Saccharomyces cerevisiae S288C: one gene and its partners. Each later gene encodes a partner of the first gene's protein in a complex. Each region holds a gene or a part of one and is shown in the gene's direction. Other genes may lie near its edges.

The links.
Region 2: RXT3 (region 1) and CTI6 share a complex: the UniProt entries of both Saccharomyces cerevisiae proteins name them as parts of the RPD3C(L) complex.
Region 3: RXT3 (region 1) and DEP1 share a complex: the UniProt entries of both Saccharomyces cerevisiae proteins name them as parts of the RPD3C(L) complex.
Region 4: RXT3 (region 1) and UME1 share a complex: the UniProt entries of both Saccharomyces cerevisiae proteins name them as parts of the RPD3C(L) complex.

Annotation. Positions count from the first base shown.
Region 1 is NC_001136.10:320,168-323,135, reverse strand, and holds RXT3 (Rxt3p), read left to right. Parts: upstream 1-1,583; coding exon 1,584-2,468; downstream 2,469-2,968. Other genes in the region: 60S ribosomal protein eL31 RPL31A, read right to left, coding at 148-432, 854-910. UniProt on the Saccharomyces cerevisiae protein: Component of the RPD3C(L) histone deacetylase complex (HDAC) responsible for the deacetylation of lysine residues on the N-terminal part of the core histones (H2A, H2B, H3 and H4).
Region 2 is NC_001148.4:201,450-205,459, forward strand, and holds CTI6 (Cti6p), read left to right. Parts: upstream 1-1,971; coding exon 1,972-3,492; downstream 3,493-4,010. Other genes in the region: tRNA (34-2'-O)-methyltransferase regulator RTT10, read right to left, coding at 1-1,087; TCO89 (Tco89p), read left to right, coding at 3,799-4,010. UniProt on the Saccharomyces cerevisiae protein: Component of the RPD3C(L) histone deacetylase complex (HDAC). Responsible for the deacetylation of lysine residues on the N-terminal part of the core histones (H2A, H2B, H3 and H4).
Region 3 is NC_001133.9:127,542-130,987, forward strand, and holds DEP1 (Rpd3L histone deacetylase complex subunit DEP1), read left to right. Parts: upstream 1-1,728; coding exon 1,729-2,946; downstream 2,947-3,446. Other genes in the region: bifunctional N-glycosylase/AP lyase NTG1, read right to left, coding at 1-561; SYN8 (syntaxin), read right to left, coding at 711-1,478; cystathionine gamma-lyase CYS3, read left to right, coding at 3,258-3,446. UniProt on the Saccharomyces cerevisiae protein: Component of the RPD3C(L) histone deacetylase complex (HDAC) responsible for the deacetylation of lysine residues on the N-terminal part of the core histones (H2A, H2B, H3 and H4).
Region 4 is NC_001148.4:289,114-292,950, reverse strand, and holds UME1 (Ume1p), read left to right. Parts: upstream 1-1,899; coding exon 1,900-3,282; downstream 3,283-3,837. Other genes in the region: protein phosphatase regulator GIP3, read left to right, coding at 1-134; SPP1 (Spp1p), read left to right, coding at 524-1,585. UniProt on the Saccharomyces cerevisiae protein: Catalytic component of the RPD3 histone deacetylase complexes RPD3C(L) and RPD3C(S) responsible for the deacetylation of lysine residues on the N-terminal part of the core histones (H2A, H2B, H3 and H4).

The DNA of each region.
Region 1 (2,968 bases):
AGATGATATCATTGATAAAAATTGATCTGAGTGCCCCGCTTCAATGAATACAGAAGTCTTGGCTTGAGTACAAGAGATTTATACAAATCGAAAATGTTTACTTTATATTTATTAATATAAAATGAGTATTATTTTTATTTAATTGATTTAAGCATCTTCTTCGACAACAACAGTTTGTAGACCCTTGGCAGAAGCAACTAAGACAGGTTCAACGTAGGAGAACAATGGGTTCTTGGCGTCTTCTTCTTCGTTTCTCTTTCTGGAAATTCTCAATCTTAATCTGTATTCAACACCCTTGACACCTCTCTTCCAGATAGCTTGGTTCAATTCTGGAGCTAGACGGACATCATCAGTACCCATGTGTAACTTGGCGAACTTCTTAATTTCCTTGACAGCTCTTGGAGCTCTCTTCTTGAAGGAGACACCGTGCAACTATTAAAAATAAAATGGTAAATTTTTTGTTAGTAACGATTGTTCATTTTAATATTAGTGTAATCTTGATGAATGGTTTTGTATATTGGAGACCCAATTTGTTCTGATTCATATTTAGTCAAACTTGGGATATGGATAATTGTCGACTTAAAATCTAGGATTCCACTATTTAAGATAACTATTTCTGTCTTCATCGCTCTTTAAGTCCAGCCGAAGTGTATCTTTCCCCTCTTGGATGTTATAATATTGATTATGGTCTTCAAATTCCGTATTATAAAATATATCTTGATCAATGATCTTTGTTGATAGGTTTCTGTGGTACAAATTCTTGATATTGTATTCCTTGACTATAGAAATATCTTCTTAATTAACCATTCAGATGACAAGCCCTTGGGCATTATATTTTTATTCTTTCACATACTCTTTTGTGCAAGTTAATGGTGTATTCACGAGTGACAACGTCTTTCAAACCGGCCATTTTTCCTTTGATTGAGTTCTGTTTGCTTATTAATTCTTTCTTTAAAACTTGAATGAAATTATCACTAGTTATAAAATCTTCAATATAATTCAATACTATCTTTCAAGCTATGAGATTCAACCCGCCTAATGCGAGCATGAGTAAAGTCAAGCTATGTCTGCCTGCGCAGTTGGGAGAACGAAAATGCCAGAAAGAAAAGCCGCAAACCTGAACGGAGCTTTCCCATCCTCCGCCTGCGCAAGAATGATCCACCATCGAGAGAAAGCCTTTCTGGGCTCTCCCACTTCCTTCCGTTGCAAAACTGTCGCCTAGCGTTTCAAAACTGTCCACGAAGGCAGATTGTCCAAAAAAAAAAGCACCACAAATCATTTCTCAATTTCAGAATACAAAGGTATGGGGGTAAAAATAAAGATTGGTGTACGGAGGTAAAGGTATGAAAATATTGTGAATAATGGAAAAAGGGCCCAGAAGGGGAGAGGTTCGGGAAAACAAAATATAGTATCAGCACTTCATGAATGTAGAACACAAGAATAAGCATCTCCATTCCGGCATCAAGTGCTATAGAATTCCATGACAGCGTTTTGACAAATAACGGTATTTTAGTACGAAGGTAAGGGAAAATTTACTCGCAGTTTTTTTTTTGAGAGAAGTAACAATACAATATAAGATAAAAATGTCGGTAAGCGAACAAGATCCTAATAGGGCGTACAGAGAGACTCAATCCCAGATATATAAACTACAGGAAACACTACTAAATTCGGCGAGAACAAAAAATAAGCAAGAGGAGGGACAAGAAAGCAACACCCATTCTTTTCCAGAGCAGTATATGCATTACCAAAACGGCAGAAATTCGGCCTACGACCTGCCTAATGTAAGTTCACAGTCGGTTCTTGCTTTCACTGAGAAACACTATCCAAACAAGTTAAAAAACTTGGGTACACTTTATTACAATCGTTTCAAAGAAGGGTCTTTTGATGAAGACTCCACAAGTTACTCAGACAGGCACAGTTTTCCATACAACCTTTATGACAACACTCTTCCACCACCGTTCCTTCCAGCTATCGGTATTCAAAATATCAATAATATTGCAACGCTAAAAATAACATATGAAGATATTCAGGCAAGTTTCAATAATATAGAATCTCCTAGAAAGAGAAATAATGAGATATGGGGATGTGATATCTATTCTGATGACTCAGACCCAATACTAGTTTTAAGACATTGCGGGTTCAAAATTGGAGCGCCTTCTGGTGGCTCATTTCACAAATTGAGAAGAACCCCTGTAAATGTAACTAATCAAGATAATGTTACAGGTAACCTTCCCCTACTGGAAGGCACACCTTTTGATCTAGAGGTGGAGTTGTTGTTTTTGCCTACTCTACAAAAGTATCCTAGCGTAAAAAGATTTGATATAACATCGCGGGAATGGGGATCGGAAGCCACCGTTATACACGATGGACTGAGTTACGGTATCTATAGTATTGTCATTAAGCAAAGACTAGATAGAGATAAACCTCATGAACCAAACGGGTATATTAAAAATTTAAAATGGACCTAAGGAAAGACATAATATTGGTCGTCCTTCTTTCCCTTCCAACCTTAGTTGGCGCCATGTGTGTATTTAATTTAATTCAAAATATCATTCTGCTGCGCTACTTCTGTATTATTGCTTTGAGGAATATACGATGCGTTGTACTATATAACAAAAGCTTCACTTTATAAGTTTCTATAACTGGATAGTTTGGTTGTCTCACTCTCCTGCAAATTCATACTCTTCTTCCATACATTAACATGCCGTCCTAGGTGCTTGCTTTTTTAATTAGACTGGTTATAATATGTGTAACTAAGCCATTTTCGGGGCCCTCAGATTATATTAATTCCGAATCGGTAGTAAACGATATTTTATGAAAAGGACCCCAGGGCGCCAAACAAAACGTGGACTGTGACAAACTCTGCCAAAAGTCAAGCTCTAATCGTGTAAATCTTACCAATTGAGAGCGATTCCTGTAATTAGGTTTACGGCTGTTCAATTATCTTTTCAACCGGACGGGTCTTATA
Region 2 (4,010 bases), on another chromosome or scaffold:
ACTTCCATTGTTTCGTGACATCACTGTATTTAAGTATTTTACCCAATGAAGTGATAGCAATTACACCGAATGAAAACCATTGAAATCCCTTGATACTTTCATTCTTTTCGAAAATATCGCCACATTGCTTTGCGATATCATCTAGACTGAACGATGTTTCTTCATCGCCGTGTCTCTTCAGTTGAAGAAGATCAATCAGCTTTAACCTACCATCATTCCCGGAGGTTACAGCTATCATTTCGTCGTCTTTCACATCAACGCCCCATATACTCTTGATTAAATGTACTTCGTAAACGTTAGATATGGATAATTCGGCAACGTTTTCTCGTGATTCGATAATGTTCCATACACGGCATGTGCAATCTTCAGAAACACTTATTAGTTTTGAATCATTATCAAAAAACATTAAATTCCATATTCTTGCCGTATGGCTCCAGCCAACAGACAGCTGCTTGCCAGTTTCTAAATCCCACAGTCTAATTGATCTGTCGTCAGAGCAACTGGCAACATATCTTCCGTTGTTGCTTAAATTAACATAAAAGATAGAACCTTCATGACCCAGTAAGTTATGAATTTTTGTCTCCGAGAACAGGTCCCAAATGATAACACCGCCCATTACAGTACCAGCGTTAACATATACTTTATCCGGACCGAAAACTTTAATTATACCGGAATATAGAATAGATCTTTCTCCCCCAAGAGACTTCCTAAAAAGAACTTCACAATTTAAATCACAAATTAGCACTTTATTATAACATGTTAACAAATATATTTGCAAGTTGTCAAAGCTGAATGTAGCACCGGTAATCCAATCTGAGTTAATCCTTTCGAAATCCACCAATGACTCTTTCTTTAAAACGTCTTCAAGTTCCACTATTGTTACTGATCTTGCACCATAGGCCAAAATTTTCCCTTCACTAGAAAGGCTAAGTCCATGAACTTTATTGTAGTGAAATAGCCTACATTTGTTAATCAACGTAGCCGAATGATAGTCATAGACATGGATGAAAGGCCCATAACCAGCTAGAACATAATCATTGTAAAATTTAACACATAGCGCAGGACCATAATGAGACAAGTCCTTCATTTTAATCACTTATTCTTCTTCAATGAGCAACTTCAATTGGCGGGAATGAGAAGCTAAATAACGATGAGGTCCGCTAGCAGAAGTTTTTTCATGCTCATATTTTTCCACTTTTTTTTTCTTACATTTTTTTTTTCAGCAGCGTCGTTTTTTGTGAGACGCCGATGTGTATGCTAGGCTTAAATCTATCATTCAGACCCCAGTGTAAAACATAAGCGGTGAAAAGTACGTAGGGTAGTATACAACTCACCAAAGCACGACTACGTGAAAATGACCCTGAGAGTATCATCAATGTTATCGGCTGTATAAATAATACACCAGAACAAATTCCTCTTAAAGATGTAGGCAAGACCAGACTCAGTTTCTCTGAGCAGTACCTTCAATTTTCAATTTTTGATAGATGTTCGTCACTAATATTTTTTTATTGAGTTAAGTTCACCCACTTCTGGCACTTCTTATAACCTTGATAATTAAAAAGACCTCGGCGGTTATTTTTTATTTTGAGCAGTTATAAAGGGCATTACCCTCATCATCTTGCGGAAATAGGACGGAGCACGTCGCAGACAGGCTTTAACGTAATCAATTAGTTTTGAAAAATTTCTCCGCTATGGGTAAACTAGGTAAACCGCACAGCACAATCAGCTGCATTTTCTATTTTCAATTTTCTATTGGTGGCTTTTCACTGCATGATCAAAAAATAACGTTTTGTTGATTAGTTTTTTCTTTTTTGTTCTTGTTGGTTTTCGTATATGAATTTTATGTAACTGGGTATTTACAGGGGTACAAAGTTCACAACAGAGACCATCAATAGTTTGTTTCCTTCGAAGTTTACTTTGCGTAACCTTACTAAAAGATAGCATAAACATATAGGAGTATAGAGAAGAGTAATGGAATCGACAGCAATAGTGCCTAAAGGCCCTGTTGTGGGTAGTGAAGATATGGAGAAAGCGGAAGTCATTGCTAGTGGGTCCACAGACATTATATCAACAACATCAACAGCGACAACAACGGCGGCGATTGGAAGTGTACAGGAAGAAAGTGTAAAACAAGAAGATGTTCCTATGGAAGGTGGAGAGGGGGAAGTCGAGGAAGAGGAAGGCGAAACTCGCTGTATCTGTGGAGAGCTCGATACTCCAGATGACTCCGGATTTTTCATTCAATGTGAGCAGTGCAGTTCCTGGCAGCACGGTTATTGTGTGAGTATTACTCAAGACAACGCACCTGATAAATATTGGTGCGAGCAATGCAGACCGGAGTTACATCAGCTCTTTACCACAGATACTGGCGAAGCAAGGTCAATCTATAAACCTGTGCAAGAGAAAAGGAGGCAATCAAGAAGGAAGGCACGAAGTGCAGCTGCAAGTAAATCTCATGCCGCCAATGAAGCAGAGAAAAGTCCCAGAAATACCAGCAATACCGATGATAACGTCGACGATATCGGCGACGAAGAAGATGAAGTAGAAGATGAAGCTTCGGCTGTAGCATTAGCCAAGGACGGCAACACGAGGTCAAGTAGAAGGAGGAGGAGGAATTCAATGGATGATGCTTCTACCGATCAGTATTCACTGGATCCTGGAGATAGTGATAAGAAGCTACTGGATAGAAAAAGGGCAACTTTCATGGCAAGAGAAGAAAAGCAATATCAAAGAATGCTTGAAAAAGCCTTGAAAGAAAGCAGGAGGACATCACATCAAGAAGATCCTGAAAGTTATGAAAATGATGCTGATATATACCAAGGTGATACCGACAATCACAACGGCACCACTCGATTACAAACGGATGTTATGCTAACGGAAGGCAAACCGGACTCGGTAACAAATGATGATATGAAAGAAAGCCTACGACCATCGAAAGAGCAATCAATGGAAAAAACAAATGATGTGGAAAAAGAAGCTAGTCAAGAAAAGGAATCTTCTACGGGTTCGGCGCAAGACACTGAGAAAACTGATGAACCCATCCTACCCCTAACCTCAATATCTTCTTCTGAGGATGATTCAAGGAAAGCTAGTTCGAGGGGTTCTAAAAGAGTTTCCAAACCAGCAAGAAAGGGCAACAGAACTCGTCGAAGCAATACAAGTTCAGACACCAACCAAAATAGAAGGAGTGCTGATATAGGTACCGACAAACCAGTAAAGCCCAGATTACCCCCTCAAAGGACCTCATTAAACGAAATGAGAAGAAGGGTATCCGCTATTTTGGAGTTCATTTCTAGAACTCAATGGGAATTGAGTGAAGATCAGTCTGATCGAGAGGAATTTGTACGATTCGTGGAAAACCAGCATTTCGTAGAAAAAGTTGATACGATTTACAACGGTTATAATGAAAGTCTATCAATGATGGACGACCTGACTAGAGAGTTACTACTATGGGAGAAAAAATATTCAAATAACACTAATGCCATTCAATAAACGCAAAACACTGCAATATTATTCTCAACCAAAGTATAACTGTAATGAGGCGAACAAACACATCTATACATATATATACATCTATATGGATATAAAAACGACTAATTCAACGTTGTTTTTATCAACCGAGCTTACTCTTGTACGGGTAACCGCAAGGATAGCTAGTTGCGGATGGTATAGCGATTTGGCTGGCACGATGATTAAGGAATCCAAACATCTAATGGACTAGCACATTCTATCGATTTACGGGTCAGGTAAACATAGATATTGGGATATATCATATATCCTTACTGAGTAACTATAATTATGGTTCATCGAGGAAGGACTTTGAAGTCAGACACTGATGTAACATCTCTTAATGCGTCAACAGTATCACACCAGTCAAAGCCATTTAGACAGTTTTCGACTAGGTCGAGAGCAAAGAGTAACGCAAGCTTCAAAGGTTTGCGTAGAGTTTTAACACATGATGGCACCCTGGATAATGATTATTTTAATAAGCACAACGTTTCTCAGAAATG
Region 3 (3,446 bases), on another chromosome or scaffold:
AACGGCCTCTAATGTCATACCTTCTTCGCTGTGCAGTTCGTCTATACAATACCGCATTATGTTAAGCATTGCCATTGCGGTAACTTCATCTTTTGTTTGCGATGATAGCATCACCCCAAGAAGGACCTGTAATCTGTAGTCCCTCGGTGATATCTGCTCTTTCGAGATACCACACTTAGAGGCAACCGTTACAGGAATGGATGATCCACCAATTATATCGACGGGGGCTAGAATCTTAGATCTCAGTACTCGCATTCTAGCGTATGTTTCTTGAAACTTGTAAGGGACTTTCGTCGAGGCCGGAGTGACAAGGATCGAGGGGTCCAATGGTGTGGCCCACCTGTTGGGCACATTGCCGTTTCTAACCACAATCCATTCGAAGTACTGCTTATTTGGCAGCGATTTAACCCAGTCGATATCCACGGGTTGAGGGACAACCTCTTCTTGTTTGATTTTGGTCCTTTTCTCCGGTAGGAGTTCTGATTCTGGCCCAGTTTCAGTCTTTACCAGCGGTCTTTTCCTCAGAATTGCCATAGATGAGTATTTACTGATCTTTTGCATATTTTTTTTTTTTTTGGGCTATAAAGTATATATAGATACAAATATATGATGAATCATTAAAGAGGAGGTTATTACTAAGTGAAAGAAAAAGAAAAAAAAAAAGATCAAAACCAAACTTCGTATTCGAGCCTAAAAAACAGAATATAATGTTATAATACTAATAGAAGCAACAGGAGCACCACTATCAGCACAAGAATAATCACGCAGTTGCCGTTATCCTTGAACCTAGAATTGTTAAAGCCATGCATGGACCGAGAGGCCCTGTTCAAATTCCTACCATTATTATCAATCAGGTTTTCTAAATCAACCAGCAGCGAGTCGTTCTGAGAAACGATCTCATTATTAAGGTCCAGCGAAATGTCATGAGTCCTCCCAATAGACTGAGACAGTGCGCCCAAGTGGGAATCTTGCTCTAACAACTGCTGTTGCTGGTTAATAAATAGTTCTTGGTTGGAAACCATGGGTTGTGGTGGCTGTGGCTGTGACTGTGACTGTAACTGCGATTGCAATGGTTCATCCTTGTATGGAGTATGCGTCGAAGGCAGCGGCGACTCCTCGTCTTGTTCATCGTCATCCTTATACATGACCGTAAGCTCGTCATCATTCTTGAACCGCACTTTTTTCAAAGACTCTTTGGACACCTCATCAGTATTTCTTGCCACCTGCTGTTGGAACCTATACAACTCCTTGTCAACCGCCGTATCAGGAATTTTGTCCAGTATGGTATTGTATCGGGATATTAGTTCATCATTGGGCGCACACTTCTGCAATAACTCCAATATTGAGCCCAATTGCCGTTTCAAAGTAACGTTATCGTTTGAGGTCGGGGCGAGCTTCAACACCGACACTAGCCTTGTTCTTTCTTCGACCAGATCAGAGAGCTGGTCCAGTTCATAACCCAGCTTCAACACATCCATACCGTGTGTGCTTACGCATCTATTTGCTGTCGTGAGATCTGTCTCTATGCTTTATTCGTTTTCCATTGTAAAGTCTCAGCATTTATTTCTTGTTCTTTACTTGTTTTTGCCCTTTCGGGTGATCAAAGTCGTGCTGGGAAATTTTATTCTTATAAAATGATTTTTAGAAATAATAAACTCATAACAGTGCAACGGCAAAGTACAAGGGAAGGAAGCACAGAAGCAAGAGGAGGCGCATCGATCGTGGCAGATGAGTCAGCAAACACCACAGGAAAGTGAACAGACCACAGCGAAAGAACAGGACCTTGATCAAGAGAGCGTGTTGAGCAACATTGACTTCAATACGGATTTGAATCACAATTTGAATTTATCGGAATACTGTATATCCAGTGACGCAGGAACAGAGAAGATGGATAGCGACGAGGAGAAGTCGTTGGCCAATCTGCCGGAGTTGAAATACGCTCCCAAGCTATCCAGCCTGGTGAAGCAAGAGACGCTCACCGAGAGCTTGAAAAGACCACACGAAGATGAGAAAGAGGCGATAGATGAGGCCAAGAAGATGAAAGTGCCGGGAGAGAACGAGGACGAAAGCAAGGAAGAGGAAAAGAGTCAAGAACTGGAAGAGGCAATTGACAGCAAGGAGAAGAGCACCGACGCCAGGGACGAGCAAGGGGACGAAGGTGATAATGAGGAGGAAAACAACGAGGAGGATAATGAAAACGAAAACGAGCATACAGCACCGCCTGCGCTGGTGATGCCCTCCCCCATCGAAATGGAGGAACAGAGGATGACTGCGCTGAAGGAAATCACCGACATCGAGTACAAGTTCGCGCAATTGCGCCAAAAACTATATGACAATCAATTGGTGCGGTTGCAAACGGAGCTGCAGATGTGTCTGGAAGGGTCACACCCGGAATTGCAGGTCTACTACTCGAAGATTGCCGCGATCCGTGACTACAAGCTACACCGAGCGTACCAGCGACAGAAGTACGAGCTTTCATGCATCAACACAGAAACAATCGCTACCAGGACATTCATTCACCAGGACTTCCACAAGAAGGTCACCGACCTGCGAGCCAGGCTGCTGAACAGAACCACGCAGACCTGGTACGATATCAACAAGGAGCGCCGCGATATGGATATAGTCATCCCAGATGTCAATTACCACGTCCCCATCAAACTTGATAACAAGACGCTGAGCTGTATCACGGGCTACGCCAGCGCAGCACAGCTGTGCTATCCCGGCGAGCCCGTGGCAGAGGACCTCGCTTGCGAAAGCATCGAGTACCGCTACAGAGCCAACCCGGTGGACAAACTCGAAGTCATTGTGGACCGAATGAGGCTCAATAACGAGATTAGCGACCTCGAAGGCCTGCGCAAATATTTCCACTCCTTCCCGGGTGCTCCTGAGTTGAACCCGCTTAGAGACTCCGAAATCAACGACGACTTCCACCAGTGGGCCCAGTGACCGCCACACTGGACCCCATACCACTTCTTTTTGTTATTCTTAAATATGTTGTAACGCTATGTAATTCCACCCTTCATTACTAATAATTAGCCATTCACGTGATCTCAGCCAGTTGTGGCGCCACACTTTTTTTTCCATAAAAATCCTCGAGGAAAAGAAAAGAAAAAAATATTTCAGTTATTTAAAGCATAAGATGCCAGGTAGATGGAACTTGTGCCGTGCCAGATTGAATTTTGAAAGTACAATTGAGGCCTATACACATAGACATTTGCACCTTATACATATACACACAAGACAAAACCAAAAAAAATATGACTCTACAAGAATCTGATAAATTTGCTACCAAGGCCATTCATGCCGGTGAACATGTGGACGTTCACGGTTCCGTGATCGAACCCATTTCTTTGTCCACCACTTTCAAACAATCTTCTCCAGCTAACCCTATCGGTACTTACGAATACTCCAGATCTCAAAATCCTAACAGAGAGAACTTGGAAAGA
Region 4 (3,837 bases), on another chromosome or scaffold:
CCAATACCGATAAAGGATCCGTAGAAACATTGCCTGCAGTCTCAACTGACGACCCAAATTGTGAAGTCAAAGTCACTGCTACCTATGACAAACTATTAAATAATTTGTCGATGGAGAGGTCAATCAGACTTTGAAGATACATGAATCCTTCTCTTCACTGATGGATCCATTTTCTTCTTCCTTTTTTTCACTGCATAAAACTTTTTTTATCAACCTTTCATATTTTCCATATTTATTTATATATACCGCCAGTAAATTTGGCGATATTCGATAGACTTAACAGATAAACTTTTTAAGATGAATTAAAGCACAGAGGATTAAGCTTACCTCTTTAGAATCAATTGATATGTTCGGCTACATATTAGACACTGCATATAACCCAAGGCGGGTAAAATATGAACAATTTCAATTGGGCTTTGTAAATGCTTACTTTTAAATGTAAACGAAGCTCATCAGAAGAAAAAAAACAAGAGATTTGGAAAAGGCTACTTCGACCTCAATAATTTCTCAGCCTATCTTTCTAATGTCATTACCACAATGGTGTCCACCGCATTCCACCTTAAAAAGAAATCCAACTACAGGAGAGGACGTATACTGCATATGTAAAAGGCCAGACTATGGGGAGCTGATGGTGGGATGTGATGGTTGTGATGACTGGTTTCATTTCACCTGCCTTCATATTCCTGAGCAGTTTAAGGACCTGGTGTTCTCTTTTTATTGTCCTTACTGTCAAGCGGGGATTACTGGTAAGAATAAGGACGCCATAATCAATGGTGAAGGGAGCTTGCCAAAAACCTTATGGAAAAGAAAATGTAGGATAAGTGATTGCTACAAACCATGTTTACAGGATAGTAAATACTGTTCTGAGGAACATGGTAGAGAATTTGTGAATGATATTTGGTCGCGATTGAAAACAGATGAGGATAGAGCAGTCGTCAAGAAAATGGTCGAACAAACAGGACACATAGATAAATTCAAGAAATTTGGACAACTGGATTTCATTGATAACAATATAGTTGTAAAAACAGATGACGAAAAGGAAATATTCGATCAAATTGTTGTACGAGACATGACGTTAAAAACTCTTGAAGATGATCTGCAAGAGGTTCAAGAGATATCGCTACCATTATTCAAAAAAAAGCTAGAACTTTTGGAAGTATATTTGGGATGGTTAGACAACGTATATACCGAAATGCGCAAGCTGGACGATGATGCTGCAAGCCATGTGGAATGTGGTAAAGAAGATTCCAAGGGGACAAAAAGGAAGAAGAAGAAAAATAGCAGCAGGAGTAGGGCTAGGAAAAATATATGTGGCTATTGTTCTACATACGAGCGAATACCCTGCTCTGTGGAAGAATTTGTCAGAGATTTTGGAAGTAATGAGGAAGCCACCAAAATACATGAGGTATGCACGAAGTGGAAGTGTAACAGACATTTGGATTGGGTGTCTACTAATCAGGAACAATACCTCCAGCAGATTGACTCTTTAGAATCTATGCAAGAAAGGTTGCAACATCTGATACAGGCCAGGAAAAAGCAACTAAATATACAATACTATGAGGAAATTTTAAGAAGAGGTTTGTAACGGCGTTGGAGCCTAATCAAATATCAGTTTCTACATATATATATACTTCGTAGTGATGATATATCAATTGGAGCGTCCTTGCATAGGCAACGCCTATTTGGATAGTCTTCAATTTCGACCCCATTTCACGTGAATAAAGCGGAGCTATCTCTGTTTTGCAAGGGTTCGGCCGATTTTGCTGCGAAATTTTAATAAGCGCATATTGATTTTTTCAAGCAATACTTTGTATATTCATGATCGAATGAATGAAAAAGCACCACTCCTCAGCCGCATACCTTCAGTATCGTATTTATTTCCTTCTTTAATCACTTAAAATGAGCACTTTAGATATTGCAGAAGACAACAAAATAAAAAATGAAGAATTCAAAATTTGGAAAAAATCAATACCCTCATTATACCAACATATTTCAAGTTTGAAGCCTATCTTTGGCTCAGGCGTTGACGAATCTCCATCGACACTTAGGAGTATAGTTTTCACTAACGATAGCTCATGTAATAAATCCAAAGGTGTTTTGAGCGTACCACTTTTATATTCTCAAGGGAGTGAAATCTTTGAGGTGGATTGTATAGTGCCACTCGGACTTCATTACAAAAAACCTGAAAGCATTTCAGAACCGTTAGTACAACCGGATTATACCATGGAATCTCAAAAGGTGGAGCAGACTGTTTTGATTCCAAAATGGGAATTTAAAGGTGAAACGATTGCAAAGATGATTTACGTGGATAACAGCGAAATAAATGTAAAGGTGATAGCCCTTTCTACCAATGGTTCTTTGGCATGGTTCAGAGAAGGTGTCAAATCGCCCGTTTACACAATGATGGAGCCATCCACTTCTCTAAGTTCAGCATCGTCCGGAAATCAAAATAAACCCTGTGTTGATTTTGCAATTTCTAACGATTCAAAAACCTTAACAGTAACTAAGGAAAAACATCTTGATAATGAAAACGCTACAATAAAATTGATAGACAACTCAGGTAAAATAGGAGAAGTGCTTCGTACAATACCTGTTCCTGGCATAAAGAATATTCAAGAAATCAAGTTTTTGAATAATCAAATATTCGCCACTTGTTCTGATGACGGTATCATAAGGTTTTGGGGTAATGAGATAGGCAAAAAGCCCCTTTGGATTCTAAACGATTCTTTGGACGGCAAAACAACTTGTTTTGCTGCATCACCGTTTGTTGATACATTATTTATGACGGGAACTAGTGGTGGGGCTCTCAAGGTTTGGGATATACGTGCAGTTATCGCTTTAGGGGATGCTGATGCTGAGTTAAATATCAACCAAGGACATAATAAAGTCAATGAACTATTCAAAGTTCATCACTTTTATAGCGAGCAAGTGTCCAAAATAGAGTTTTCTTCCATTTCGCCTATGGAAGTGGTTACAATTGGAGGGTTAGGTAATGTTTACCACTGGAATTTCGAACCTGTTTTTGCCATTTATAACGAGATACATGAGGACTTTCAAGGCATAATATCTGACGAATTGGAGGCCGAAAGCATGGCATTTTATCACACTGAGGGCTGCAGAAGAGAAATAGGAGAAAATAATAAGGTTAATACCGTTGCTTATCACAAATACATTGAGGATCTAGTTGCTACAGTTGATAGTGACGGGTTGTTAACTGTATATAAGCCGTTTACTGGAAAAGTTTTAGATGGCAGTAGAGAGGTTGGAGCTGCCAAAAGTTAATTTTTATATTATTTAGGCTGTTTGAGTTTGGGGCGGAAATGTATGAATAAATTGTGTAATATTTAGTCTTTACTTCAGCTTTTGTTTTTCTAAAAATTTGTTTTTAATGTTTTATTGTCTGAAGTAAACATTAATTATTAGCTTGAGAATTGCTCTACATGTATATATAAACGGCAAGGATCTACTCTTTAATATAGAGAAATGTACATACCTTTGAAAACGCGTTTTCAGAGTTTAGAATGTATAAGGTAACCTTAGAACCACATCTCTTATTGCCAGACTCTCAAAGGTGAACTGATATTGAGCCTATTTTACCCTTGTTTATGTTCACTTTCTCAATGCGAAAAAAAATCAAAAAGAAATAAACTTTATCCTTAGAGTTGAAGAATTAGAAAGAGAATAAATCAAAGGGATCAGTTGGGAAAGCTCAATACTTTCCGCTTAATTTTACTGAAAACCTCATCAAACACGTAGGCACATATATATTCATATATTTATATGTTGGCTACCTTCTAATTTGCATGAAATTCGTTCGCTCAAAAAATTAGACATTTT